4 linked regions of the Struthio camelus genome follow. The protein of the gene in region 2 interacts with the protein of the main gene of each other region in a pairwise test. Links are inferred from orthologs where the notes say so. Each region holds a gene or a part of one and is shown on either strand. Other genes may lie near its edges. The genes, in order: THRB, PSMC5, VDR and PDC.

Region 1 (7,159 bases), on a different chromosome or scaffold from region 2:
TTAATAAAATAGTAAGCTCTTGTAGGAATGTTGTGCTCCTACCTGTTAATAATGTATAGTACAGCACAGAACATACAGAACAACAAGATGCCAAACTAAAACCACACTTCCATGCCTGCTTTTCTGGAGCATAGTTTTTTCCCTTAATATTCAAATCTTTCATCAAAATTTGTAACTGAAAATCAGGAAATAATAGTTTTAAATGTACAGTGATATCTGGAGTAGCTTAAGTGTTTTCTTGTAGTTTTGGAACATCTGGCTATACTTTCTAAGTACTGATTTTTTTCCCTTTAGCAACACTCACGTTGTCTGAGTCTTTCATTCTCATTATTTCCTTAATTCTCTCAAAGTGACATATAGATACAGAAGTAATTAAACTCCCCTTCGTAAACATTAGCTTTTCTCAGCATATAAAACAATGTTTTTATCTTCCTGGAGGGGAAACTAAAGAAGATTTTGATCCCTTTAAAACTAGCAGAAGTTTTGACATGAAGAACCTCCCTGTGTTACGGTAAAGTACAATCTGATTTGAACAGCATGAATGGTATTGAGATTATCACAAGTTTCAGGGGACTAATAGAAATACCAACTGCAACAATCAAGACTCCTCATGGACACCTGCTCAGGGACTTAATTTTGCTTTAATGGGCTATTACCAAGGCTTCTCTAACAAACTCCCTCTTCCCCCCCCCCCAAATCAATTCTGGATCAATACAGGCACACATGCCCTGTATAGAGCCTTCTGTTCTTGGGACGGGATTAAAAGATTCGTTAGTTTTATGATAGCTTGGGTAAAAGATGGAAATTAAAAAGAAAAAAAAAGAAAGAGAAGATGCACATGTCCCACACTGTTTAGATTTATTCTGCTTAACAAAGTCAGCATTTGCAAAGGTTTGACAGAAGGGACGCAACTCTTTATGGATTATCACAGTAATGACGGCTGTAAAGAAGCCGAAGGAACTTTGCTCAGTCTCTGTGGATGATCAGTTAAAAGTGTGCTCGAGTGACTGCTCCCAAGAAAATTCTCTGCAAATTTTAAGTGAAACTGAGGTAGATGAAAAACATGAGCAGGCAAACAATTTTTAAAAATAACTCTGTATTCTTTCAACAAGCAAGTAGAAAAACTGTAAACAGAGCATTAAATGTATCAGATGTCTGAATACTGGAATAACTCATTTAAAGCTCTGACCTAAGTACAGCAATTATCATTTAAAATCCTTTCGCATTATGAAATATATATTCCTTCACTGACTTCGCAATAGCAAGTCTCCATCTTCTTGAAGTTAATCCTGTGTAGCAGTTTTTGACCAAAATGACACATGGGAAAAGTCTATGAAGAGTTATAAATTTATTGATTAAAATCCAATAGTATAAAATTAGCCTAAAGAAGACTTTAGAATGCTACAAAATACAAAAAAAGCACATTATGCACAACTACATTTAGTCTACAATTTGATCATGTTCTCTACAGCTTCCTAGAGCAGGATTATTTTTCTGATAGTCCCTTTATTATGAATACTGCTCAAAGTACAAGATTAAGATACTTTCTACTGAACATACAGTTTTATTGCACCAGGTGCTAATGAGCGTTTCCTTCACAAGGGAAAATATTTCAGTTTTCTATGTTGTTAATATGATTAAACAGGCTACTTTTGACTACAAAGGCACTTTAAAAAAAGTAAATGGTGTCGTTCTCTGTCTAGCTAGTTAAATCAGATTCATTTTGTTTCTGAGTAACTGCATACAGGAAATTTGGTCTTAAGAGAAAAAGGATATTATATTGGTACAACAGACTGTGTATTTTTGTTCTTTATTCAAGTGACTTTAAGGGAATACACTTTTATGGAGAACACATACTCTACATGTGCCAGTTTGATTGTCTGGCTTCAGAACAAGTAACACTGAGAACATTTTCCAGTGGTGGTTAGTATTTTTTTGAGAAGTGATACCTGCTTTGCTTACTTGAAAGCAAAAGAAGAAATTCTGAAAACAAGCAGTGATCTAATCCTAAGGGAACAGATACCACTCTCTGATTATCTCTCACAAACATACTGATTAGATCAACTTTTTGGATGGAGAAGAGTCTTTACTGCAGAGCTATATTCTCGACTGTCCTATCTTTTTGGCTTTGCATAATCAGAAACGACACGGTTTTCATTTACAAGACAGCAACTCTATTAAATGTAATCATTTTCCCATACATACTTGCAGTTCTATTTTCAACATATTTTGCCTGAAACTGAGTTATTCAGTAAAGAGAATTCACATTTAGTGATAATGAGGACTCACACAGACTGTTTGTGTGGAAGCAGAAAACAGATTTAAGCTGAAGAATATTTACTGACGACATTTCAGAAGAGAAACTTTCTTATCTAGCTCACTGATGTTCAGTAAATGGACTTAATAGCCACAAAAAGCAGAAAACAAGCAATATATTTGCAAACGTCCTTTACAAATTAAGAAAAAGTGCTTGGAAATCCTCATCGTTCACAGAAAAGCTTACAATCACCTAGCAACCTATGTTACTGCTGCTTTCAATTTTGAACAGGCAGCCTTCACATTCAAAGATGTATCTGAGCCAAGTGATGCAACTGTAAGTTTAAAGCAAAACAAAAACAAAAACACAGATTTTTTTTGGTATTTAAATAAATTGCCCCTACCTTTCTTCTGAGAGTACGATGGCGACTGCACTTGAGAAAAAGTAGGTTTTTCTTCGGTGAAATATTCAGGTTGGTTGTACTGATTCAGGGCCATGTCCATGTCAGAGTACTCGCTTTTAAACACGTTTCCAGGGTAACTACAGGTATAAGGCTGATTCACCGCCCAGGCCTGTTCCATATATATGTTGTTACCGTGCAGGACCTGAGCATCACAACTGCTGTAACCCTGATTATCCTCGATATATGTGCAATAATCAGTGGACTGCATGTAGCAATTGCTCCCAGCAGCTGGGTGCACTTCATAGATTTCTTGCATACAGTAGTTCATTTTGTTACCCTATCTCGGCTCCTACTTTACGGGCGCACACACACACACACTCGCACACACACGCACACACACACAGGCATGCATACACATGGAACGGGAAAGGAGCAATGAATATACAACACCAACAAAGTCGACTGCAAAACAGCCCGTTTCACTTTGGAGCAGCACCTGATGTGCTAAAATCCTATTTATATTGGCATGGCTTGTGAACTCCCCTGCCAGTCAAACATATTGGGAAGCAGATTTATGACAGTCAAAGGTCTTAATCTGTGACTGTAAGTTAATTCCAAGGGAAGATGGCAGGCAGGCAGCAATGGCCACCAGACAAAGGAGCGGCGTCCCGACAACCCTCCTGTTCCACTGTTTGTCCGCAATAATCGTTTTATAAACCGTTTCTAGCCTTTTGCAATATGATTAGAAAATGATTATTAAGGCGAGGACACAGTTATGTCACTGTAGTTGTCAACTTAAGTGTGAAGCATTATGAAGACTGCTTAAGAACTCCCAGAGGGGATACGCTGAAAATCCTAAAATCAATAATCCTGTTTTTCAGCATTAAACCACAGAAAATCCAATAGCACTGTGTTGATGACCCAAACAGTAGTCTAGTTTTACAAAATTTAGCAACTTAATCTGTCATCAGCTTTATTGATTTTGTTTTACAGAATTACATGCATGAATCTCCCCAGCCTTCCACACATATACAATCCTCCCTACTGCCTCTTAATGCATTTACCGGAAAGCAGCTTTTTTAAAGTTCAGTGATTTGGGGAGATAATTTCTATTTAGTTCAACAGGTGGGAAACTTCAAAATGACTTGATTTAATCAGCAAAAAGGACACTGCTTAAATATTACCAGCAAACTAATTGTTTTGCTATTTTGTTTCATGATCTTTTATGTTTCAGTAACAAAGAACTTTTAAAAAAAGTATCCTTTGCATCAACAACCTGAGCACAGCCAGGAGGTTTTCTTGCTCAGTTTGGCTCTCGTATGAGCTATGTACATTTCAATGCCATTAAAATAAAATACTATATGATCTTATAACTGCTTTACACACTCCAAACATCAGTGTGGTTAATATATCATATTTGATCGCCCATTCTTTTTTATTTAAAAGGATTTTTTAATATTATAATAGCTGCCTTGCTTTTACTAGCTAAAATATGTTTTCTTTGCAGCACAGCATAAATAGGGTAAAACTCCTGTGAAATCAGTAACAAAATGGTATCTCTCTTTAATGTCTGTTCTTATTATTAGGAAGCAGAATTACTGATTTAATAATGAGGTCTTAATTTTGTTCTTTCACTCATTTTAAACAACACTCGAGATGACAGACTGCCAAAACTACCTGTATGTTGGCCCCTTTTCTTCTTGGCTTTTAAGTATACCTCTAGCAACCTAGCTGAACGTAAACTCCAATGGTCCTCAAAATTCTGTGAAACTCATAAGACTCAGCATTTAACATGCACATATTTCTCCCGAGCTGGTATTATCAAATGCTTCAGACTAATATAAAGAGCCCGTAAATTAGTGTTCTCTCTTTTTCTAACGCACAACCATAACTAACCTTTTTAAATAATGAGCACTGGCAATTAGCATCTAACATATAGGCTAAGAGATCACAGGGTAACTGCTTCTGAGGACTGGAAGTTAAATTTTACTCTTGGATTATTTTTATTTTGGTTTCCTAACTGTAAAAGAAGCATCTTTAAAACCAACTCTTACTACCTTGCCTCACCAAATAATAATGCATTTGGTAAGTCAAAATGATCTCCATCGAGACCAATTTTACTAAACTCAATGAAGTTACTTCCAGAATGAAGTTATTGCGGTAACACTCTTGCAATTTAAAGTAACAACTTACTTCATTAAGAGCAGTAAGTATTTACTGAAATCCCAGAAGTGAAACACAAATGAACCTTCATTCTCAGTGTTGTTTTTACCGAAGACCTAACTCAACAAAATAGCATTGTGAAATATATTGTGATAACGCACACATCGAAAATTAATTTTCATTTCAGTTCAAGTCTATGATCTAGATTTTCCAAACAGTGATTTTGTCTGAGATAAAAAAGCATGTCTTAGGCAAGATCTGATTTTTCAAGAATGGCTGCAGCGCTTCATAAAAATCATGCCCCTGTCTCAAGGTAAGTAAGTGCTCAGTTACTGAGAACCTTTATAAGTATGGTGATTTGCTTGTGCACTGCATTTTTTATCATCAGCTACACTTACTCATATATTCAGAGACAAAAAAGCCTATTTTCTTTTACTTTCCAGGAGAAAAAAAATCTTCTATTAAAAAACATCATAACAAACTGAAAACAAATGTCAGAAAGTATTAACTAAGATCTGCCAGAAATGCTTTTAGAAAGAGAGAAGTGCATTCTCTGTTTAAGATTTGTAATGAGTTCACAAATATTTTAAATTAATGTCACGCTTTTATCACAGTTTCCTGCTGTGAGAATAAGATCTGAACTGACATAGATTTCCTAAGAAACTTTGCAATGCTCGTTTACACAGAACCCCCCAAAACCTACCTGTTTATGTGACTGGTTGGTAATGCTAGTACATACAAATGTAATGTCGACACAATCGTAACCTGCCGAGCTTAATTCTCCATACTCCCCAGAAAGAAAACATTCTACAGGTAGGGTAAGTGGACTTTCCGTTTACCGCAGAACGATCTCCACCGCAGCTAACAGGAATTTATGTGCGAGCTTGCATACAGGCGAGGCTGTATTTCACAGGTTAGCCCAGCAGAACAGCCAGGTACTCTTACCAGAGGGTGATCTAGTCCCAGAAATTTGTCTTTCACTTAGCAGGTCACAATTGCCTAGCACATTGCAGTTTTTATTTTGTTTAGGACCCCTTTTTATTGAAGAATAAAAAGGAATAGATGACCTCGAGGCAAAATTGCTAGTTTGGTCTACGTCAGTCTCCAGGGTGACACCAGTGCTGGAGAGGCAACTGCGAGGAATGGGAGGACTCCAAATGCACCACGGTAGCTGTACCCTGGGGTCAATTTTTGAGAGGACTGACTCGGTAACTCGGTGACAAAGACATGACATCGCCCATTTGACGAAGAACATCCTCCAGACTAATGGAGCCCCGCGCCAGGGAAGAGGAAGAGAAATAAGCGGAGCCACGGAGAGCCAGGCTGCCGCGCAGCTCGGCGGCAGCCGCGTTGTCCTGGTGTCCGCGGGGGGCTGCCCTGCCCGCGTGGAGCCCGAGGCTCGCTGGGGACCGGCAGAATAGGCTGCTTTCCGAGCGAGAGCTTATAATGAGAACGGACCCGAACCTCGCAAAAGGCCACCTCTATCGGCCACAGCCCTTCCCTGCGCAGCACGGAGCCGCCTCAGAAAGTGCCCGACCGCCCTTCGACTGCCGGGTGGTTGACACCACCCAAAAAAGCTTTTGGGAACCAAGCTGGAAATTTTCACCAGGTCCTTTTCACCTTGTGGATTTGTTTTGCCAGATGAGGCAAATTTCCTAAGAATTTTCTCTCCTCTGGTTCTTCTTCCCACTTACTTGACTTAGTTTCGTTATCCAAAAACTAAAAAGAATTGAGGATGTACGTAGACAGAGCAGTCGCAGGCAGCATGGTGCCTGGCGGAGATGGTATCATGATACGGGACTGCATGTGAATTCTTTTCGGTTCTAAGATCAACTCCTCAAACATTGTTTGTTTTCTAATGCTATGTCAATAACACTTAGAAACGTGTCGTATGTACTACTTTTCTCCGAATTACTGCAATGGTATCAGGAAATTACATTACAAGAAACTGAGGAGAATGAGAAAGTAAAGTGGATGAGAGTCTTTTCCGGCAAAAAATGAATGATAAACACTGCCAGGCAATGAGGTTTCCTCACCTGGAACATCCAAGAGGTTTATAGCACTGCAGATTGTTGCTCCCTTGGAAACAAATCAGTTCCAAAAACACTGCAAAGATTTAGTATCATTATTAAAACTGAAATATTCCTGGAGTATTTTCAGTTGAACCTCTGAGGGTCCTCTTCCTGTATCACTTTGCATTAAATCATCTGGTAAAAGACAGTCAGATGGGGTCTTCACCTAAAGTCCAAAAGTGGACTAGAAAATAGTGCATACAATTGTTGTTTCAGTCTTGTATTCTGACTTGAATACTGGAGTCTTTCACTGCTTTCAGCACT
Region 2 (7,070 bases):
TCCCCTAGCGTGATCTGGACGCAGCAGAGAAAAAGGGCTGCCACTCCCAAGCCACAGCCCCTGCCCTGCCTCCCTTTCCTCTGCACTAGCAGGGCTGGGAGCTACTGCTGGGGCAGCCAGCTGCCTTCTTTCGCTGCTCCGTGCTCCTGACGACCAGGCTCTGTGGCCACCAAGGTTTCTCTGGCCTCAGACACTCACCTCATTGGCCTTGGAGAGAAAGTCCACGGGGTTGGGAGCCTTGAGGAAGTCCATCAGGGTGAAGCGACGGTACAGAGTCGTGTCACCATCTGCATAACCTTCTGCCTACAGAAGAAGGGAGCCTTATGAGCCAGGCAGCTTCAACCATCCCCAAAAGTCAAATAATTTGCATCTACCTGCAGCATCCACCTAAACGTGCCCAAGTGACACAGGGACAAGGACAGGTTATGAGCCCTTACCACCTGCTGAGTAACAGGCCCAGCTCTAGGATGTCTCCTCCAGCCTCGACCTAACCTCAGGTGCAGAAAGGAGTTGGTGAGAGAGGCTTGTGAAGCTCCACTCCCAGTTGAAGTTGCCTGACACAACCACTGGTGTCCTGTGCCCCAAAGACATCTCACGGAGACATAAGCCCCATAGCCAACTACTGCACGGAATATGTAATACTGATCTATTCCCACCCAGGCTCATGGCTTGTTCACAGCTCCCCCACCTTCAACAGCAGTGAACCTCTCCATCATCCCTTCCAACCCCTGGTATCCTGGGATCTCTCGTTTTCCTAGACAGCTCTCCTGATTAAACATTTTTAATATTTAATGTTTGGCTCTGCTGCGCAGCAAAGCAAGTCGGCCAGATGCCCAACACCCTCTTCTCTCCTGCAGCTTTTCAGCTGCTCATGAGCTCCCAGAAGCCATCTCCTCCTTCTCCTCACAGACTTTGTCTAACTGCTGTCCCCCCAGGAGTTTTCCCTGCCAATCTGTCCCGTGAGGGAGCTGAACCCAGAAAGGCAGGTGGTTCCTCAAGACAAGTAGAGTAGGGAAAAGGGCTCCACAGAGCCAGACCCTCCCTCAGGCTATGGCTGTTCCCTTGAGTCCGTTCTTTGCTGAGGGACACTTAGTCTACCCCAGGAACGCACCATCCTCATACCTTTGGTTTCTTCTTGCTCAGCAGCTCACTCACGGACTTGGTCTGAACCTCCACCTCCTTGAAGGCATATTTCGGGTCAAAGAACTTGCTGTCAATTTTATCTGGAGCCTGATAACCTGTGATGTGGGAATTGGAGAGTTCAGCAGGTTTCTCCCTGCCCTATCCCAGTGCACCAAGCTGCCAACAGCTGCAAGTATCCTCAGCTGCTCACCCTGGCACACCACGAAGATCTCAGCGGACTCATTGCGGGAGGCTTGGGGCTTGGTGGCTTGGACCTTGCGGAAGAACTGCTGGAAGATCCAGAGGAGAGGCTGGTAGTCCCGGGAGCGAAAAACCTTGGTGATGAACCAGCCGCCTTTGCAGAGAAATTCGCAGGCGAGTTTCAGGGCCATAAGAGTCAGGTTGGCTGAAGAGGGAGAAAGCAGCAGTCAACAGAGTTGTCAACTCCCCATCACCTAGCTCCTTGCTCCGCAACATGTGCCACCATCCACTGTGCCCTGCTGGGGCATGAGACGCACCCGCCCTTGCAACCCCTGGCAACTGCCCTAGGCCACACAGCAGCCCCGCGAGGGCCCTACCTTGGGAGTAAGCGTCGTGCACCCAGCTGGCCCCCACGTTGGGTGCTCCATCATTCAGCACCACGTCCACCTTCCATGTCTGCAGCTCCTTGCGCAGGGCCTGAGGGTCAGAAGTGCATGTTAGTCCTGCTAATCCCTGTCATTCTGCACAAGCCAGCAGGTAGCATCTCCAGTCCCCAAAAGCCCACGTTTCCACCTGCCTGCCAACCCAGACAGTCCGTTCAGCTGCCTGCCCCAGTCCTACCCCCAAAATGAGCCCTGACTAAGCAGCTAGGGTGACCTCCAGCCCAGACAGACCTGCTGAGTCCCAGATCAAGAGATGACACTTAGCAGGGTGGTTTTTACCTGGCGACACTTCTCAGTGGTGATGTCCTCCTGCAGCGTCACCACGTTGGGAATGGGTTTGATAGGGACCAAGTCCACCCCTGGTATAAGGAAGAGATGTCAACGTCGAAATTTTCCCCCCAACCTGGGTTCCAGCCTGGCTTCCCAGCTCACCCCTTCCGTGTACCAGGGCCCCCAAAGCACCCCATCCCTCAAGTCAGATCCAGGGACTGCGGAGGTGGTCCCTGCCCCAAGTCTCCCCTACGACATCCTTGACCACCCCTGCTCCAGCTCAGTGCAGGGTCCCACAACTCACCAATGATCAAGCTGGAAACAGGCATGAATTTGGAAGCCACCTGTAACCTGCAGAGAGCAGAGAGGGTAAAAGCTACGGCAGGATCCCATGAGAACCACCAACCTTGAATCATGCTGCCTAAGGCTTGGGATCTGCCTTGGGATCTGCGACAGGGAACAAGACGAACTGCCTAGGCAGGAAGTATAAAAGCCAGTTCGCTACAAGGTCCCAGCTATCCAAATCACCAGACTCCTACCTTCTTTGTGAAAGCCTTTTTCACAGGCACCCTTGAGTCAGGAATAGGTTAGCTATCCAGATAGAATAACTTGGATAGCCCCCATCTTGCCATGCGGGGGAGCCACAAAGGCTTAGGGCTACTCAACTAACAGCACACACAAATAAAATGATCACTAAAGAGTACTTCAGTCTGCACTACTTAAACACAGCCCAGACACTGAGCCTCCTGCAAGTAGATGCCTGTTGGCTTATGGCTCAGAGCCCGTGGCAGTAGGGGGCATTTCAGCGGCTTCAACAAGAAGTAATCATGTTTCTCATCAATTCCCCCAAAGCAACAAGGTATCTGGGGCAGGTGGAGCACGTATAACTCCAGCTGCAGCTTGTGCAGACCAGCTTTCAAACCGGAGCCAAACGAGCGTGTTCCTCTGGGCTCTGGCTAGTCTGGCTCACCCATGCACCTCCAGGAGGGAGGCCCATGGGGTAGCCAGGCCTGGTGTGGGGCAGCTGGAGATGTTGGGCCATGGCTCCGGGCCTGGCGACACTCACCACCCACCAGGGGCTGCACATAGGTCCAGCAGTGCCCGGGCCTTTTGCAAGAATTGGAACTTCCTATTGAGCTGGAGAAGTTTGAAGGAGGAGCGGGAGCGAAAGCCTGCAGAAAGAAGAGTGAGGGGTTACAGATTACTGGGAGTTATGGGTTTGCTCCTCTCCTCCCGACAGCGCGCAGGCTCCACTTACCCGTCTCCTTGGCCAGGTGGTAGAACTTGTCCCGCCGACTCTTGCCTACTTTGCTCTTCTTGCCCATGGTGGCGTCAGGCCGGGACCCCGGTGGGGCTGGGAGCTACGGTCACCTCTGCGCACGGACCTGCGGGGAGGCTAACGGGCTGAGCTCGGGGCGGCAGGGCCAGGAGGACCGACCCGGTGTCCCCCCACGGCCCCTGGCGCCCGCTGGCCCTGGGGTGCCCACACCTACCCCGGCCCGATGTCCGCCAACCCGGTGCCCCCCTCCCCTCCCAAGGGCCTACCCCGGCCCTGGAGCCCCTCAGCGCCTTCTCCGGCCCCGCTGCCCGCCCGGCTCCCCGGCCCCGCCGACCTACCGCGGCCTCGGGGTCTCCTCCCCGTCCTGGTGCCCCCCCGGCCTGCTCCGGTGCCCCCTTCCGCCGCCCAGTCCCCACACCGCCGCGCTCCCGCGTGCGCGCCCCACCGCCTCGGGCTGCCACTAGCGAGTGACTTCCGCTTCCGGTCGCCCTTCGCCACCATCTTGGGAATGTTGTCTCAGCACCAAGTCCCCGCTGCGAGCGGCAAGACAGGACGCCGCACGCAGGGAAAGGGGGAGGGAGAACAGACCTTCTAGGAGGCGCGTTTTCAGCCTACTCACCACCCTCTAGTGTTTCGTGACACAGAGGAATAACGTTTGACCTTACCAAGATGGCGACAAAAGCAGCGTGCTTGCGGGGCCATTTCTGCGCACGCGCATTCTCCACGCCGCCAGCACTCGAGTGCGCATGCGCTCTCACATCCTTCGGGATTGGAGCAATCTGTTTGTTACTGTGTTGTTGGGGGAGGGAGGAAGTGACGCCAGCACGCTCCTCGCGCGGGGGGGGGCCAGCGGAAGGGACGCCGCAGCCATCTTTAGTGCAGGCAGCGGTGGTGCCGGTGTCCCGATGCCGGCGGAGAAGATGGCGGTGGACGGGCCCGAGCAGGTGAGGCTGGAGCCGGGCCGAGTCGGGGGCTGTTGGCGGCCGGGGGTGCCCGGGCCACGCTGCTTTGCCATGCTGAGAACGGGCGGGGGCCTGGCGGTCGCTGTGACTCGGCGGAACTCGTCTCAGCCTTGGCGCGGAGGCAGACCGGGGCCTGGGGCAGCGAAGGGCATGAGGGGAAGCGAGGGATCCACGGATCCCTGGGCGAACGGGGACTCTGGGGGCTGGCGTTGGGGACAGGTCCGGGGAGGTGCGCGGGGGAGCCCGGACTCCGAGGGCTGCTGGGGGCTGACCCGGAGGTAGAGGTGGATTGCGGGGCCCTGGGGGAAACGGGAGGCCTGCGGGGCCGGACCCCGTCTCACTGAGTCCCGTTCTCTCACAGATGGAGATGGATGATGGGAAGGGTGGCACGGGACTCCGACAGTACTACCTGTCCAAGATCGAGGAGCTGCAGGTGAGCCATCCCCAGCTGTGCAGCCACCCGGCCTGCTCTGGGCAGGTGTCTCTGTGGTTCCAGCCAAGGGTGCCTATCTCTGTCTCCAGGCCTACCCTCAGGCTAAGAACATCTGCAGTGCTTTGTAGGCCTTTTTTTGCTGCCGGTGCCCTGTCCTGGGGTGCAAGGAGGAGGCACTTGTGAGGACGGTGTCTACAGGCAGGGCCATCAGTCCAGCCTTTGGGCGATGCGGGCATCCACGATGTGTTTCTGTCCTACCCAGTGTCATCGCTGCTTTGTGTGTATGAGATATTGCCTAATCCTTGGTAATGGAACCTGGCTGGTCACGTCCTGTTTGGAAAGGCTGTGCTGTCCTAGGTGCTTGTCCCAGGATGAAAGCTGCTCCTGCCTGTTCTGCTGCAGCTCAGCTAGTGCCTGTTGCACGCACTTGGTGTGCAGTTAGTTTGAATGTTGTATGGGATTCTGAAGTCTTAGCTAAGCTTTCTTTTTACCTAGCTCATCGTCAATGAGAAGAGCCAGAACCTGCGGCGTTTGCAAGCTCAAAGAAACGAGTTGAATGCCAAAGGTACAGCTCTTTTCATTTTTCTCATCCTGATCTCCTGCAGTGATGTGGCCACTCCTAGTTGCTGGGCTGATGACTTGGGACCCAGCTATGGGCCAGCATGGCTAGTGCTGTTGTTGGGAAGATCCAGCTCCTGCCAGGCAGGAACATGTGCTCTGAGTTTCATAAATCCTCTAGATGTTTTGTTTTTGAGGGTTTTTTTTTTCTTTGCTGTTGTAGTTAAGGGAAGGTGGGTACCCTTGGTTCCAGCTGAGTCCCTTTCCTGAGCAGGACTCTGCACTGATCCCCAAGATGTCCCCGAAGGGCTGCGTGGGGTGTGTGTGCCACCTCCATTGGGGGCCGGGTGTCCTCTCACTGCACTGGGAGCTGATGCCTGTAGCTGGGCAGAACGGCGCTGCTGATGTCTCCCTCCCTCTTCACAGTGCGCCTGCTGCGAGAGGAGCTGCAGTTGCTGCAGGAGCAGGGCTCCTACGTGGGGGAGGTGGTGAGAGCCATGGACAAGAAGAAAGTGCTCGTCAAGGTACAGAGCTGGGGTGAGCGGGTTGGAGAAGGACAGAGTCTTTCCTCATCCTTGCACAAGGAGAGGGTTGGAGGGCAGATGTGATAGCACAAGTTCTGGGAGGGATGTGACAAGGAAGAAATGTGAAGCGAGAGCTGTATCTAGAGGAGCACCTTGTAGCACCTCTCGTGAGCCCCAACCTTCCCCAAGCAGGTGGGAAGCACCTGGCTCAGGGGTTACTGGGGGCAGGTGGAGCTGCAAGGTTTGTGTTGGTGGCTGAGCTGCCTGGCTCCTCCTTCCCCCTCTGAGAAGCCAGTATGGGTACTGGACACACGACTGGGGACGTTTCAGGTAGAGAAATAACTCATGGTGGCAACTGCCATGTTTCAGGTGCACCCGGAAGGGAAGTTTGTGGTGGATGTCGACAAGAACATTGACATTAATGATGTGAGTGTGGGGATGTCCTGGGGGCCGTGGGTGGGAGGGGAAGGAGATTGCTCCCCTTGGGGTGGCCTCGTGCTGCCTGCTGCATTCCTCAGCCTGGGGTGGCTCAGAAGGGCTGTATCAGGGCCAGGTGCTAAGTTCCCCTCTGATCTTGGCGTAGGTGACCCCAAACTGCCGCGTGGCCCTGCGCAATGACAGCTACACACTGCACAAGATCCTGCCCAACAAAGTGGACCCTCTTGTGTCCCTGATGATGGTGGAAAAGGTCCCGGATTCCACTTACGAGATGATCGGAGGTTTGGACAAGCAGATAAAGGAGATCAAGGAAGTAATCGAGCTGCCAGTCAAACACCCAGAGCTCTTTGAGGCCCTGGGGATTGCCCAGCCTAAGGCAAGTGCTGTCCACCTGGGCCTGGTGTGATTAGGGGCTGCTGGTGACCACAAGGGGATGAGCACCCTGGGGTGCTGCTGTGGCTGCTGCTGCAGTGGCACTGCAATGCTGCGATCCTGCCCCTCGCTGCCCAGGGTTGCTGTGCATCACCTGCTCCTTTTTGTTGAGGTTGTTTGGGCTAGTGGGAAGGAGAGGTAGCTCTGGGGTCTCGTAGCTTCTCGGGTGCTGCGTTCCACTTTGTGAAGGAGAGAAGGGATGTGGGACAGTAAGTGCTGCTGCCCTGGTGAGGATATTTGCTCTCCCTGTCTGTGGCTCTACCTTGGGGGCAGAGGAGAGGGGGCTTTCCTGTCCCAGGATCACCTTCAGAGGCCCCTGGACTGGAGCTTTCCCCCAGCTTGCATGCATGGTGGCAGGGAGCTCTGCCCAAATGCAAAGGGCCTGGTGGCACTAGCTGCTAGAAAGAT
Region 3 (7,917 bases), on a different chromosome or scaffold from region 2:
GGCGTCCTTGACCAAAGCGGTCCCCCAAGGACGAGCAGCACCATGTCCTGGGGATGCCCAGAGACGCACCATGATGCTACGGAGCACCTGGGAAATTTCTGAAGCTCCAGTTTGCAGGGAAAAGGAGTCAAAACTCCTTCCCTCCCGTTGCCCTCAGTCCGATAGCTCTGAAAAAGGAGACAAAATGGTCAGTTTGAGTCCTGGGTTTAGGGGCTTGTGACTTTAGGCATGTGGGATCAGGCTGGGCTACAGGATGAGCCTGGATGTGGATCTCCCCAGCCTGCGCTTTGCCCCCGGGTAATGTGAGGACCAACTAACGCAGAGCGGCCCCCCAAACTGGCCAGCTGACATTTATAAACCCAGCGGTGCTGCGAATCAACAACGTCCCATGCAAACTGTCGTTATTCTGGTGCTGTAAACGTGAGATCTTGGTGGAAAACTGAATTCCTTCCCCTCATAATCTACAGCTGCTTAACCAAAACCATAAAAACAAAGTTTATTGCAAGAAAATATTCCCAGTAACCTTGCATGCTCAGGAGACAGATGCCTCCTGAGCACCGGGGACTTGCTTTGTATCTGCTCTCCTTGCTGCCAACTTCTGCCGCTGGTGGAAACTTTATGGATCATTTATTCTCTCCTTCCCAGGAGCAAAATGCCAGCATGATGGAGTTTTCCTGGCTTGCCGTTCGCGAGATGCTAATTGCCTGCCCGTAACTGTCAATGATGGATGGCTGTGCATCTCCGATCACTCCCGAACTGAGCTGGGGGATAGCCAGGGACCAGCTCTCTGCAGGCTGGAGCGAAGGTGCAGGGTGCTGGCCCTCAGGACCCTACAGGGCAGGAGGTAGAAGGGGCAGATGCAGGATCAGGCTGCCACCCAAAACCGCCTATATGGATGGACCTGCACAGGCAGAGGAGAGCCGGCACCAAGCCCCGGGGTGAGCTCAACCCCACAGTAGACACCGGAGAATCCCCAGAGGGTGCCAAACCCTCCTCCTTGATCCCCCAGCCGACCCAGCCGCTGGAGCCATCGTCACGCTGGCAGGATTTTGCAATGACTTCCTGAGAAGCCTTCGCTGCATGGAGGATGAATCGAGCGTTTGAGTCACCCCAAGAGAAAGCCAGAGGATCCTGCACTTATGCTGCTGCGAGAAGCAGGGATTGGGTGGGGGGGGGGAGTTGCTCCCGGGGAGGTGCTCAGGGACCCAGCTGTCCCAGACAGTCCCGCGCTCCGGGTTTCGGCAAAGGGAGCGGTGGCGACCGTGCAGTCGCTGCCGAGCCGAGCGTCTCCCGGGAGCACTCTCCCACCCACATAACCAGCCCTATTACTCCCATTAGCTCCCAGCTGCAAAGTGGTTCCCATTAGTTGTGTTTTCGGAGGCGTCGCTTTTTCCCGATTTGTTTCGCGAGGAAAGGAATGTTTTCCCCTGCGCCGTCCCCCTGGCCGGGGCTGGACCACGCAGCAGGAGGAGCAGCTGAGGAGGATTTTCCCCCTCTCCCCTCATCTCTTTCCCCCTCTGAACACCTTGTTGCTCCTGTCCCAGGCTGCGATGCCCCTGGTTTAATTTACTGTTTTGAAGGGAGCTGATGCAGGTCCCAGCACAACCCCCCCCGCCCCGACGCAGCAGCACTGCTGGAGCAGAGGGGCAGCGTGCCATCACGTAAAGGTGGGAATAACCCTGCCACCACCTTTCTCTAGCCCGGCAGCATGCCTTTTAATGCAAACAGCTTCAACTTTAGGGACTTTTACAGCTAAGTCCTGGAAGGGCAAACTGAATCACAGCGAGGTTAAATGACTTGTCTGAGGCCAAACAGGAAGCTTGTGGCAGAGGAGGGCTTCGATTCCTCCCTTTCATGAAGCCATGCACCAGCTGCTGAGCCATCATTTCTCTCCATTAACCCTGGCGTTTCCCAGTAAAGACTGAGCAAGATGAGAGCTGAAACTCTTTAATGTTGTCAGCCTGCAAGAAATCGGGGTAAACAAGCAAGCAAACCCAGGCGCACAAACCCGTTGGTTGGTAAAACCGCTCTATGCCGGCTTGCAAAGCACCTGGGCATGGAGGGGCCTGTTCTCTGAGCATTTAGTAGCATTAATACTGCTGGCCCATGCTATGAGCATTTGCTGTTTGCTTTGCTCGCATTGTACCAATGCAAGATTTTAGACCTCGCGTACGTCTCTGCGCATCCTTTTGGACCAGCGTGGGAGGGATTTTGCAGCTCGGTTGCACGGCTCTCCGCACGGTTCTCCCCGCAGCAGGGCTTGCTTTTCCCCATGTATGTGGAGGGAAAGTGGTGGTACTCTTAAGCATGACTATCCTGGAGCCCCAGAGCAACGGGACACGATGGGCAAGCGGATCGAGGCAAGAAGGCACATGGCCGGTGAGAGCTGCTGGCCAACGACCTGCATAAGATCCAGCCCTGTATTTCCATGTGTGAGCACAGCAGAGGCAGTGGCAGAGCAGCCTGAGTTCGAGGGAAGAGCCAGATAATAGCTGTAAGCCAGCACAGGTCACAACCGAGGGTGCAAATTAAAACTCTCATCAGTTTGAAACCTTCCTCATAGCTTCAGGCACCAACTGGTCCACGTACACAAGAACAGCAGGGTTTGGCAGCTGAGCTCTTTTATTGGGTTGAGGAGCGCGTTGCACTGCTACAGACAAGTTGAGGTCCATGGGTAATCTGCTGCATTAAGGCTTAAGACACAATTTAACCTTGCAAATGGCTGCGGTGGTTTAAAGCGCTTGGCCCCACCTCTCCCGTGCAAGCCAGTGCGCCCATGGCAAGGTGACGGGACGGGGCACATGCAGCACTCCTCAGCCACTCCAGCACAAAGTCCTGCCTGCCCGCAGCCTCTCCCCTCTCCTCTCGCAAAGTTCTGCCGAACTGTCTTTAACGAACTCCCATTTCCTCCTAGATATTTTTTTTTTTCTCTGATTGGCCTCATTAAATCAATTTAAAAGCGTTTAGCAAAACGTTTTCCCCAGGCAAATTAAAGCAGTTGAACTTGCTGATTATGGTTCAGGAGCGGTGATTGCTGTCTGCTGTGACGCTGGCTCGGCCGCCCTCGCTGTCTCTCTCCCTGAGAGGTTCGTTCCCCCACTGTGCATCAGGGGCTCGTTTTTTCCCAGGTTTTTGAGTTAAGAGGACATGTAATAAACTTTGGGAACATCACAGTAGGGGCTTACTTGAAGCTTACTTTCTCCCTCCTTTGTAAAGCGTTGCTGATTCCTGTCTGCACTCAGCGACACGTTTCTAAGGACGGGAAGTGAGGAACCGTCAAACAGCCTGAGTGTTTTCAGACCTGGGGTGTGATGTGTCCAGGCAATCGAGCGGCTTTGGGTTGGGGCTGCAACACCAGCCGAACCTGCTCGACCCAAACCACCACGCTCTGGTTTGACTCACGTCGCCAGTAATGTGATTTTGGCTGTCCGAGGTCCATGCTCGTGACCTGGCTGGGAGGAGGGACGGCAGCAAACCCCGCTCCGTTCAGCCAGCTGCTCGCGGGTGGTAGTCCGTGTCAGCTGGGACTCGGGCCGGCTGGAGGGATGGCAGGGAGCCTCTGTCACTGTCCCGTGCTGCAGCAGCGCCTAGAGAGCAAATGCCAGATCCCAGTGTCCTGCAGTGACAGCCAAAACCAGGCGTCCTGTGGGACCCTGTCCCCCAGGCCCCTTCCCATCCCCTCGGTGTGTCCAGGGTCGTCTGTGCACTGAGCCAGCAGCGAGGCCTTTGCAGCAGGCTCCCGTGAAGCCACTGCCTCAGGGGCACACCAGGGGTGCCACGGGGCTAGCCACGCTCAGGGCTGCAGGCTGCAGAGAGTCATGTCTCTGCCAGGAACCTGCCCACCCTTGACCATATGCTTTTCTAGCTCTTGGAGCTGTGCCTAGGATGTAAGCAGAGACTAACTAGCAGTCTCTAGTCTGGAGGCAGAAGATGAATCAGCTCTCCTTCTCCCATTAATCTGATCTAAGCATCAGAAAAATACATGAGCGCTCTCAAAGCTGTTCTCAGATAAAGGATTTGCAGTGCATGGTGGCAGGGCTCTTGGATGTCCTTCTGAAAACAGGAGAGGAAGAGGAGCCCTGCACATACTGCAGTGGCGTAAGCAAGATGGGGTTAGTTTGCTACGTGACAAATTCGGTGAGTGCTCCTGGTGCATAGTGGCTTGTTACTTAGAAATTCATAAGGAAAGCAGCCTCTGAACCGCTGCCAGCTCCAGGGACAGAGCTGTGTAACACCTGGACTCACAGGAGGCACCACAGCAAATGAGAAATACGGCACAGACACCCAAACATGCTCAAGACCCCGCAGGACCCCATGTTACAGGGAAACAGTTTGCCAGAGCCTGCTGGGGAGGACACCAGCAGTATTTGTCCCTGTCCCTGTGAGGGACCATCCACAGGCCAGGAAGCCTGGCTCTCTGGAAGGTGCTAGAGGTGCTGTTCGTTTTTATTAATCACTGCTCTACTTCATTAGGCCCTGTCTTGGGTGGGGGGGGGGGTGAAGAAGGTCTCCGGTGGTGGCCCTGGGGTGGGTCACTCCTTGACGTGCAGCTTCTAGGAAGGAGGGGTGAGGGGGCGGCTGTGGGGCGTGCCAAAAAGCTGTACCCCAAAAGCCCCGCCGAGTACCCCAGAAGCTGCTGGCGGAGCGCAGGGCCGCTGGGCTCGTAGCAGGGACCGCGCTGGGCTGGGGGGTCCCGCCCGGCCTGGGACCCTCCCGCAGGACACGCACCCACGTGCGATCTCCCGCCAGCCCGCGCCCCGCCCCTAGAGGGCGGGGCTCGGCACGGCCCGGGCCCTATAAGGCATCGGTGGGAGGGGCTTAAGCAAGCCGGCTCCTTCGGGGGCGTGGCCAGGGCGGCGCCGCACTGGCATTGGCGAGACGGCGGGAGGGGGCGGGTCCGTGGGCGGGGCCCCTGCGAGGGGGCGGGGCGCGGAGCCAGCCGGTTCCCGTCAAAAGGCGGCTCCGGGGCGGTGGGGGAAGGAGGGGGTGGTGGTGCCGCCCGGGAGCGCAGGTACCGGGGCCCGGGCTGGGGGCGCCGGGGCTGGGGGGGAAAACTGTTCCCGCTGCCTGTCGCGGACTGGCCCCTGGGGAAGGTGGGGGACCCCGGTGCCCGCCGGGGTGTGGGTTGAGGGGGCCTCTGGTGCTCGTGGGGCTGGGGAGGGGGGCATGTCTATGGGAAGCCCCCTGCCCGAGGATGTGGGGGGGGGGGACCCAATTGCCCCCTATGGAGGGAGGAGGAGTGTGGGGTTGCTCCCTGTGGCCCTCCACATCCTGGGGGGCAGGTGAGTGTTTTGGGGGGGCCCTTTGGACCCTTTATGCCCCCCTGGGTTGCAGGTCTTGTTTTTATTTGTCCCTCCTATACTCCCTGCCTCCCTGAGGTTGATGGCCCTGTAAATGTATGGGGGGGCCTCTGTGCCCCCTGCTGCAATTCAGAGGCACTATGTGGGGGGGGCTGCAGTGTCTCCCCTCAGCTCCCCCTTCAAAGAGGGTCTCAAGGACTTTCCTCTCTGAAAATGGGGTTCCCCTAGCTGTGGGAGGGGTCCCCTCCATGCTCCTGCCCCTGCTGTGTGTTGGAGGGTGGCTCTGGGGCTGGGGAGGTCCCCTAGTGCTGCCCTGTCTCAGGTCTGTCCCCCCTCTTTGGGGGGGGAGAATTGGGGGGGTGACTGTGTGACCCTTTCCCCAAGCCCCTTGTGAGCTGTTGCCAGTCAGTCTGGGGTCCCTGTGGTGGGATGTGACCCTTGCCTGCTCTCCCCTGTCCAGCCCCTGAGGTCTCTGAATCTGTGATGCCTGTGACTTATCTGGGTGCTGTTGCAGGGGGCACAGGCCCATGGAGGCATTGGGATTGGGGGTGCTTAAGCTGTGCTTTAGGGTTTCCAGCCTGTCCCTTATCAACAGGCTGGTCTCTGACTCAGGTAAGTTGCTAATTAATGATCAGCTTTAAAGCGTATCTTAAAGCCACACTCCCAGTTATGTGTTGGAGGTGTGGAGGGAGATGTCCAATGCCAGGCTGAAATCCAGCTGTGGCAGTAACTGTGCTCGTTTGTTCTCTCTACCTGCTTCCCCAGGGGCTTTTTTGGCTGTTGCTGAGCCATCTACATTGTGTCGGATGTGACTGCTAAAATCCCTCATCTTCCCAGCGCAAAGAGAAAGCGAAGGTACTGGGGATCTTTCCACTTCTCCTACACAGAGGAAGAAGGGGTGTCTTTCCCTAGACTGAGCAGGACACCCCTGGGTCAAGAATGAGCCCCCAGAGGGACCTGGGGGGTATTGAGTGGCTGGCTTAGGACAGGTAGAGGTGACGGTTCCCTATAGTGAGCTGTGTCTTCCTCTTTTCCCCTTGTTCAAGCTCTGAACCGGCTGATAAAGGCTGGGGCTGGAGTCTTCAGCATTAAAAGTTTCTTCAGAAACTGGTTTTCATGAGAAGTCAGCCCTGGGTTTGCAGCATTTCATGGTGTGCTCTCCTCCCACACGAGCTGGGCAGTGACTCATCTTCCTCTGAGGACTTGGTTAAAGGAGCACCAATGATTTTGGGGCAATGTGTGTCTCCTCCCAAAGGGAGACATCTGCTCAGCATTCAGCTCTGGTCTTGGTCTGCAGACCCTGTCAGTGCTTCCTCTGTCTACCGGGGAGCGAGGGTGAGCTGGCCTGGCTGGGTTAGTGTTGTGGGTGCCCCTGCATGGGTAGGGAGGATAAAGAATATTTAACTTGCCTGCTCCAGTGGGGAAGGAGGTTAGGTTATAACTACTCACTAATATAAAACTTTTTCTTACTTCTCCAGTGCAGCTGGTTACTGAGTTTAAATCGGTCTGGGTTTGTAGCTGTTGGCTGTGCTGTGATTTCTGGATGTATCTGGTTTAAGAGTACTTAAATGGGAGCTAGGTTTCTCTGGATGTATTAGGAGCTTTATCAGGGCAACAAGCAGAACAAGTGCTTCTTTTTAAAACCATGCTGGAAACCTGTTTGGTGTTGTGGCATGCCAGTGTCTTGCTTCTCTGCTTGTCCCTTATCAAGTGACTGTCCTCAATTCAATAGGATTTTGCATGTGTCTCAGTCTGCTGCTCCTTGCAGCCCAGAGCGGGACAGCAAAGTCTGGGTCCTCACTTGTAATCAAAGTGCTCTCTGCAGTGCGAGCACCTGATGTGGCAGTGCAATCTGTACCTGGTGATGATGTCCCAGGTGAGCATCTTGGTCAAATAAGCCAGGCTGTGGTAGGCTGAGGTTTGGTAATTTTGCAAGCTGTACTGTCAGCTGTGTATTGGGCAGATGACTGTCCCTCCAGGGGATCCAGTACCCTGAAAATGAAGGAAGGACCATTGGGTGCAGGAGGCATAGTCAGATGTCTGCCTGAGATCATGCTTGTCTGTAAACAGATCAGGTGTGAGATCTTGCAGCAGGATTTCAAATAACAAAGGCATGAAACAATAATAGATTTTTTCATTGGCCAAGAATTTGCCTTGGGTCAGTTAGCTTTTTCACTAACTGTTTTTTGCTTTAATCCCAGTGTACTTAAGACAAAATAGCTGGGTAATCTAACTTTTTTGTTTTCATTTAATAGCTGACTTTGGAAAAGTGGCTAATCTTCCCTCTGGTTAGAGGTGCACTCAGGAATAATTTTTAACCTGCTATTGCTGGGCCAAAGTGAAGTCAATCTGGCCCAAACTTCCTGTGGCTTTCAAAGGGGAATTGCTGAAGTGTCAAGTCAGTGGAAGAGAAATAATCAGACTTAAAAGAGGTTGTAAATGGGTCTATTTCTTCTGTGCAATGTCTGATCATGATGGTGAAGGGTGGAATTGGTCAGCTGAGCTTCAACACATGTTTTTCTTCTAGTTGTGCAATACAAGGGAGCCTGAGTCTGGATGCTTCTCTGGCAGCATGTCTACCAGCTGCAGGGCTGTGGCACGAGAGCCTGGTGCAGGC
Region 4 (7,999 bases), on a different chromosome or scaffold from region 2:
TGAAACAGAAACGTGCAATCATGTCTCGCTGACGAAGATCCTCGTGAGACGCTGTTTACTTTTCATTCTTCCATTGCCAAAAGTTGCCTAAATTTCATACTTTATAGGCTATTTCGCACTGATTCCTGGGGATTAGCAGCATGTTGCTGGTTTATAGCCTTATGTAAACCCAGGCACAGAACAGCATTTCCAGTGGGATTTGCACATATGGAGAGCAGCAAACTCGCATCTAGAGTTTGTTTACACTTCCAGAAAATATTTCTCATGTTTACTTATTGTTGTGCTAGCAACAATTTTTATTTGTTTTGTCCTTTACAAAAACGTACTTTCCTTTAAAATTTTTTTTGTTTCCCTCCCTTCCGTAATTATAACTAGAAGACACTATTTTTGTATTTACAACAACATTAAGAGCATTAAAGCTGAATAAGTCATCATTAGAAGTAAAGAAGTACAGTGCTTTCTTCCTGAACTACCTCAAAAATTCACTATGCAAAAGAGAAAATAGTAAAAACATTCGCAACTTTGGGAAACAAAACTATTCTACGAGGCCAAAGGCACAAAATATTTTTTAGTAAGTAGGAAGGATAAGCAAACATTTTATTAAACGGTCTTTTCTACACTGTAGTGAAATTGGCCTATCTGGTCTAATCACAACAGAAGGACGTGCATCAGTCATATGAATGGCTGTTCTGGAATACAACAGATCCAAAGTTCATAGACGCTAAATGGTATCTTCAAGCTAACGCTTAGGGTTCGGAGGGGTTTTGTCTTATAGAAGGGGATTTAAGGACACAGGAAGTTATGAAGCCCAATAATAAATAGGTAATAATAAGAAGAAATAAGTAACATAGAATTATCCGTCTCAAAATATAGACTTGAAGTCACCATACGCATTACAAATCATGCTCTAAATAAACCAATGAACAGAACTGGTCAGGAAATGGTTTTCCCTTCATTAATACTTTTCAGATAAAAAGAGGGCAGGGAACAGTTTTCAGTTGACAAAAACAGTGATAAAAATTAATGATATCTCCTAAATGAGCAATTTCTTTTCACAAACATTTTTGTTTGTCTGGCATGTCATCTGCTGTTAAAAAGTTGCAAAGGAAAAATGTAGATAAGTAGCAAAGAAGCTGGTGTCCGAAAAGGTCTATTGGTAACTGCTTAGAATTACTTGACAACCAATAGCTTTGATGTTCATGAAAAATAATGACATTGACTATAGTCTTGCTACCACTGCACATCATCCTAGGCTGCTGTTTTACTTGCGTACCATTCCAGGCTGTACTGTCCGTCTCTCACCTTGTACTCTCACACAAAGCAAGGACCTAGCAGAATGCCAAGACTGCATATTTACATGAAAAAAATTCGGATGTAAATCAGTAAGGACTTTATAAGAGTTGGTTGCAATGGCCATGAATGCATATTCTCCAGCATGCAAGCCAATCTCTATGTAACAGAAACAGATAAAGCTTTCCTCATACTTTGCTTTGATGCCTTTCACAGCAGTCTCCATCAAACACAGGATACCAAATTCAGTGGGCTGTAACATGGCAACTCCTGGATTCCTAAGAGAGTCTGGGGTCACTGTGACCCAAAAATGGGAAACGTGAAAGCAGAGAAGCTAGATAATTCTGTTGGCTTACTAGAGATAGGAATCTAAAGTGAGAGTGATCATATCCCTTATTTCCCACAAGGAAACTACGCTGGGAAATGCACGTGCAGGTTCTGATCAAAAGAGATCACTACATCATCATTGGAAAGCCTGGAGAATGGCACTGTTGTGAAGCAAGCTCGAGAAAGTGTAATAGAAGCTGTGCCACTGTGCACAGGAGCACCAAATAGCAACAAGAGAAGGAATGGGCCTTCCCAAACAATATATTCCTCACCTGCACCATCTCCTCAGGTGACACATACATGCAGCTAACTCCTGCCACCTCTTAACCTCAGCAATCCACCAGGCCACTGGGTTGACTCAGGTTTAAGGGGGTTCTACTACAGATGACCTCAAACAACGCATTTCTGAAGGACAGCGCAGCCAGTCAGTTAGGATCCACTTGCAGCTGGGAGTGCAAACAGGGACGCCATGCGGTCTGCCCATGTGGTTGCAGAGTGCAGCTCGCTCTTAAGCGAGCAGCTGTCTTGCATAGAAGATGGCTTTAGCTGTGCTGACCCTTGGGTACTCCCAATTTCAATGCACCAACAGGAATGATTGATAACCTTGCAATGGGTTGTTACAAATAGCTGCTTTACCTGATTTGCTTTAGTGCCTTAGTACTATGTGTACTTTTAAAACTTTGTACAAGTTAATGGTTAGGCACGTATCCATGTGGAGGCACTTCCACAGCATGCTCCAAAGCTGGCAGCACCCACATCTCCCCACATCTTAGGAACCTAGCTTTTTCTTGGGAAACTGCTATATGCCCAGCATCTTGTTAAAAAATAAACCACCCACACACCTCAATCCCTCGCTTACTTCAGATGTATGAGATATTCTTACCCTCATGACTGCCCTTGTGCTTGTACTCACACTACACCTTTTCTACTTACACCTTTTCTGCTGTGCTTTCTTCAAAGGAAAGACACACACTCTAGAACAGCCAGCTCATGCTGCAACTGAGCTTCCCACGGCTCACCTTGCAGTTACATGTTCATAAGCCCTTGTCCTCAGCTGCCTAACTGGGAAACACCTGGCTGGCTCGGACAGCCTGATTCTTACAGTGCCAAGTTAAGAACTGTAAATATTTATACCTCTATTGAAAGGAGTAAGATTTGCGTGACTTGCACAGCCTGAGTCAGTAGAAGGGTCCGGATTAGATTTTAGGAGTTCCCCACTCCCAGCTCTACGGTCAGCTTACCAGTCTCTCTATTGTAAGGATTATTGCCTCACGCCACACTTTAGAATAGTGGGGGAACGCAATTTGCTGTGTTATTATGATTCAGCTAATCTTTTGAGATTCATTAGGTACATGAGACCAGTAACGTGTATTTTAGAGAGAGCTTTCATTTGTTACGCAATCAGTTTCCACCTCTAACTTTCCACCTAAAATGTGGTCAGCGTTCTCCGGCTCAAGCCTGCAACAGGCTGCTTAATTGCTCCTTTTCATATCCTGTTTCCTTTTACTGCATTTCAGGGCTAAAAGCTATAGAAGAGCAAAGCATACATACAGAGAATTAAACCCTCTTTTTTTTTTTTTTGCCCTCGCAGAACAAAGAAAATTCTCAGCATCAACTGTCTGTAGAATATTTTATAGATATATATTAATATAAGTCATGAGAATGACTCACAGGGCTTTGACCCAGCAGGTCTGCATAGCAGTCCATCACTAACATCACAGATTCAGTTTTGCATATGTGAGACGGGATTAGCTTAATCTATTTCAGAATTGACTGAATACAGCAGGATCTCACACTGAACTGGATAGAAGTGCAGCTCAACAGATAGATTTTATTAGTAGTAGTTCTATTTTTCATTATCTGCTTTTCTTCCAAACTAATTCAAAATACTGCCTACAAGTCGATTACTTACCACAAATCTTTCTGCAGAATTCTCACATTTACTAATTAGCTTTTCCAATATACACAAGAATTGGGTTACTTGCATCTTGCTCAGCCATTATTCCACTTTCCCCCTTGATCCTGACGTGTAAGTAGCAGTCCAGCAGGTGAACGTGCCACTTTCTCTTGTACATACATTCTACAAAATAAATGTCACTGAAGTCTAACTTACTATCAGGTTTTAGATCTGGCATTCATTACATAACATGTTAATAATTGCTTCAAGATAGGATCTATTGCAAAGCCTACTTTAACAGCTGAACTGCTAAAACTAAATGGGAGCACTCTCTCCACAGGAGTCTTAAGGCAGACACTTTGAAGAGTGGCACTTTATCACATTGGAATGACAATTTTTGACTAAAAAGGAAACTTCTGACTAAGGTGTAACATGAGAAGAGATTCAGGAATATGTTGTGGCAGAGCTCACACGCAGAGAGATATGAACCTGTCTGTCAGCAGTAGAGCAAAAATACATTTGAAGAACTAGTACTCCCTCCCCACCCCCAGTATATCTTTCTGAAACAGATAATTGATCTGCTCATAAAAGCTGCAGAACCCTCAAAACATTTACAGTGACTTTCAGGAAACAGCAGAACATCAGCTAGACCAGCTGAGTTTGAGAGCTCAATGCTCTGGCACTGCCCAGCTCCGCTTATCTGGAGAACTCTTCTTACAGAGGAGAAACCTTTCTTCTTCCCTTTAAGGGGAATGGTCCTGCTTTGCTCCTCAGAAGCTCTACTGGAAGACAGAAAAGGGGGATTGCTAGAGCACTGCTGTACCCCAGTGCTCTGTGACTACTGTCTGGCTCTTGGGGATACAACTGGTGGAACAGGAATGAGATTTATACTCCCTGTAATTTCTTCTGTTTTGTAACTTTGTTCAGTAAAAGCTGTGTAGCTCCAAGATGTTTAGAGGCCTCTGATCTCACAGGTACAAATACTTGGCTTCATCCTCTGTACAAGAAATGAGCAATTCAGGCAATCCATAAAAATAAACACACTTACAGGACTTGGAAAAGTCATCAGTTCCTGATTTTTGGAGGGGGGGGAGGAGGGAGGGGAGGCAGGGAGAGTGAAAATAATCACTGCACATTACCATTGCAGAAAGTTTTACTAGCACTATCCCAAAATAAGCTGTCAATATTCTCCATGACTGAGAACAAACAATAAAATGAAGATATCCTCAGCCAGACACTTTCAGTGAGAATTTGGCCAGACACCTTTAATAACAGACTGATCCTAATAGTTTTTTACGAGGCAATGAGTAGCTCTACAATTACAATTTAGATTTTTTACCAGCGCTGATACCTAACAGCTGCAGGAAATTACACACTGCACTGTACCTAGCTGTAAGCTTGTACCTTTTCATTCTGCTACTGTTTTCCTTTTTGGACTTGCAGCATCTCCCACTCCAGTCGCCAAAATGGAAGAAAACAGAAACGCCAGTTTGGAAGAAGATTTTGAAGGACAGGCTACACACACAGGCAAGGAAATCGATTACTTTCTGCCCTCCCCCATCCTAAATATAAGCTAAACTGCAGAAGTCAAGTACATTCACTGAGATGCCAAGCTCCTTGCACAGAGAAGTACGCTCCAAAGCCAATGAGAACATATTTCTGACTAATTGACATGCCTCATGTAAGGGCAGGTAACACCAAAATGATCTTTGTAGCAACCTTCCTTGCGCCTGAAGCAAATGGCAAATGCAGAAGACACCTGAAGAGAGCACCAACAGCAATTGCCCAGTGCAAATCTTGTTGGCTTTTTGCTTCAGACACAAACAACTTTGTTCCTTCTAGTGGAACCCACTAACACACTATAAAGGCTGAATTATTTTTTTCCTTCTTACAGAAGGAATGTTCAAAACGCAGCTACATAGCCTTCTGACAAATGCTGCACAGAATCTAAAAATCTTTAAAAGCACCCTTGCTCAGAGTCACAATTCTTTTCAGTCGAGACTCAATCACCATGATTTATGAGTATCATTGTACTTTGTTCTACAGACTACCTCATCCTATCCTGCCAAGGGGTAAGTAGTACACGTGTTGAGACCACCATCCATTGCCTCTCTGGGCTCTGAAGGCTCCTTTTCCTTGCATCATAACAAATTCAGCTCCTGTAATAGCCGTTCTTGGGGTTCTTTCCCAGACCAGTCCTGCTACTGTCAGTTAAGATATTTTTCTAGGGACCCAAATGCAAGGCACTACGTGCACACTTAGGTTTCTGAACAGTCCTGAAAACTAGGCTACTGAGCACTTAACTGTTATCACCACGCCAAGGTTTCATGCTAATTCCTGTCTTGGACTCTTGCTTGCAAGGGTTCCGTTCACCTAACATTTCCCCCTAGGGGTGTGGTGTCAGGTACCTCGCCTTTAGCCATCACTATAACACGTTGAAATTTAATGCACAATAGACTCTTAGCAACTGGCAACACTACCTCATGAAGACACAACACTTCTCTCATTTCAGTTTTTCTCTCCTTGTTCAGTCCTGGGCTCCCCAGTGCAAGAGAGACATGGAGCTCCTGGAGCAAGTCCAGCAGAGGGCTACAAAGATGATGAGGGGACTGAAGCATCTCTCCTCTGAGGAAAGGCTGAGAGAGCTGGGCCTGTTCAGCCTGGAGGAGAGAAGACTGAGGGGGAATCTGATCAATGTGTATAGGTATCTGAAAGGAGGGTGTCAAGAGGATGAGGCCAGACTCTTCTCTGCGGCGCCCAGTGACAGGACAAGAGGCAACGGGCACAAACTGAAGCACAGGAAGTTCCATCTGAATATGAGGAAAAACTTCTTTCCTGTGAACAGTAACTGGAACAGGTTGCCCAGAGAGGTTGTGGAGTCTCGTTCTCCGGAGATATTCAAAGCCCACCTAGACATGATCCTGCGCAGTGTGCTCCAGGTGGCCCTGCTTGAGCAGGAGGGTTGGACTAGAAAACCTCCAGAGGTGCCTTCCAACCTCTGCCATTTTGTGATTCTGTAAAGCAAAGATCTTCTTACCTAGCCTTTTCTGAATTTTCCTTAAAATGAAACTTCACCTCTGAAAACAAAGTTCTCCATGTTTTTGCTTTATCAAAGGTATAGATCAAAATATTTGATTCTGAAGAATACCATTGCCATTTTGAACCGTAAAAACTGCTTAGCTAACCAGCTCTGAAGAGTGAGATTGGCATTATAGTCAGAATCATCAATAAGCAATGCCTTACAGATTAGTCCTTCAGTGGAACAGATATGGGTTAAAAATAAACAAAAAACCCCAAATCTTCACGTCCTGTATTCTTAATTTTACTATGAATGTGAAGTTCTTATGTGTGGTACGTATTGAAAGCCATGGTCCGTAGGGAGCCACAAATATATTTGTGAGAAACACTGGTTGCGGCCATGAGGCCTGTTTTAACAAGTTTCCAGGCCCTCATCCTTGTTAACCCCTTGTGCCGTTCACCAAAATTCTTTTATACTATCATGATATGAACCAGAGTACCAAAGTGACTGAGGTCAGAAACAAGCCTCCAAAAGAAAGAAAAAAAGAGTTTATGCTTTGGTTTTCAGCACTCCTGGAGCATGCCCCGAGAGCAAATGGGGATGGATAAGTTGTGGCACAAAAGGACAAGTGAAGGGCAGAAACTTCTTAAGACTGCTTCTTGTTGCAGCCAGTTTCTCATCTAACTTGTCTCTCTTAGGGCCCAAAGGTGTGATCAATGACTGGAGAAAGTTCAAATTAGAAAGTGAAGATGGAGACTCCTTATCCTTGAGCAAGAAAGAAATTCTTAGACAAATGTCTTCACCACACAGATCTTTCAGTAAAGACGATAAAGATACCAGAGAGAGATTCTGCCGTAAGGTAAGAGGAGAAAAGCAAAACACATTTATTTTGATTCTATATGAAACAGTTATATAACCTAGAAAATCCTGAATTTACCAGGCTCGGTTCCTTTGCAACTGAGCAGAACTCTCATAATATGGATAAAATAAATCAGCACTATTGACAGTAGCCTTACTTCGGATTTGTATCATAAATATAACAAAACAACCTCTTGGGTGCAGATTATATTACTCCCACTAAGTAGCATGTGGCTGCATAAGTGCTGTCATTGAAGACTAGGACGATACTCAAAGAACAAAGAATTGCTTGCCACAAGAATAGCGACATCTGACCTAAAAGACACAGTACTATCTAGGCCTCTCTCAGGTAGAGTCCAACTTCTGTAAAATAAGCAGTGTATGTCATAGAAATATATCACACAATACTGAGAGTTTGGCCTTTTCTCCCCAATGCTCTATCCTTGGTTAAGACAGTTGAAAGTTTTTTTTATAGGCTTAAAAACTTGCTAGTCAGGATAGAGCTCTGAAAGGGTACTCACTGCCACGGTAACTGAGTAATTGCGAAAACAGTGATAGTGGGGGTGGGGTGTGGGGGGGGGAATTAAATCCTGACCCCATTGCAGTTA

Evidence for each region.
Region 1: the proteins of PSMC5 (region 2) and THRB interact in a two-hybrid assay, tested with the Homo sapiens proteins (3 studies listed by BioGRID). The link is inferred for Struthio camelus from reciprocal best matches to the Homo sapiens genes PSMC5 and THRB.
Region 3: the proteins of PSMC5 (region 2) and VDR interact in a two-hybrid assay, tested with the Homo sapiens proteins (2 studies listed by BioGRID). The link is inferred for Struthio camelus from reciprocal best matches to the Homo sapiens genes PSMC5 and VDR.
Region 4: the proteins of PSMC5 (region 2) and PDC interact in a two-hybrid assay, tested with the Homo sapiens proteins (2 studies listed by BioGRID). The link is inferred for Struthio camelus from reciprocal best matches to the Homo sapiens genes PSMC5 and PDC.

The regions. Positions count from the first base shown.
Region 1 is NC_090943.1:44,272,545-44,279,703, forward strand, and holds the start of THRB (thyroid hormone receptor beta), read right to left. Parts: upstream 3,004-7,159; 5' UTR 2,989-3,003; coding exon 2,661-2,988; intron 1-2,660.
Region 2 is NC_090966.1:2,766,917-2,773,986, forward strand, and holds the start of PSMC5 (26S proteasome regulatory subunit 8), read left to right. Parts: upstream 1-4,052; 5' UTR 4,053-4,061; coding exon 4,062-4,259; intron 4,260-4,638; coding exon 4,639-4,710; intron 4,711-5,205; coding exon 5,206-5,275; intron 5,276-5,694; coding exon 5,695-5,792; intron 5,793-6,161; coding exon 6,162-6,218; intron 6,219-6,375; coding exon 6,376-6,606; intron 6,607-7,070. Other genes in the region: pre-rRNA 2'-O-ribose RNA methyltransferase FTSJ3, read right to left, coding at 1-14, 199-303, 1,123-1,238, 1,334-1,528, 1,701-1,800, 2,046-2,125, 2,341-2,387, 3,103-3,208 and 1 more.
Region 3 is NC_090969.1:3,457,990-3,465,906, reverse strand, and holds the start of VDR (vitamin D3 receptor), read left to right. Parts: upstream 1-4,908; 5' UTR 4,909-5,011; intron 5,012-6,065; 5' UTR 6,066-6,155; intron 6,156-7,917.
Region 4 is NC_090949.1:3,413,620-3,421,618, forward strand, and holds the start of PDC (phosducin), read left to right. Parts: upstream 1-4,980; coding exon 4,981-5,041; intron 5,042-7,231; coding exon 7,232-7,392; intron 7,393-7,481; exon of another isoform or gene 7,482-7,999. UniProt on the Homo sapiens protein: May participate in the regulation of visual phototransduction or in the integration of photoreceptor metabolism. Inhibits the transcriptional activation activity of the cone-rod homeobox CRX.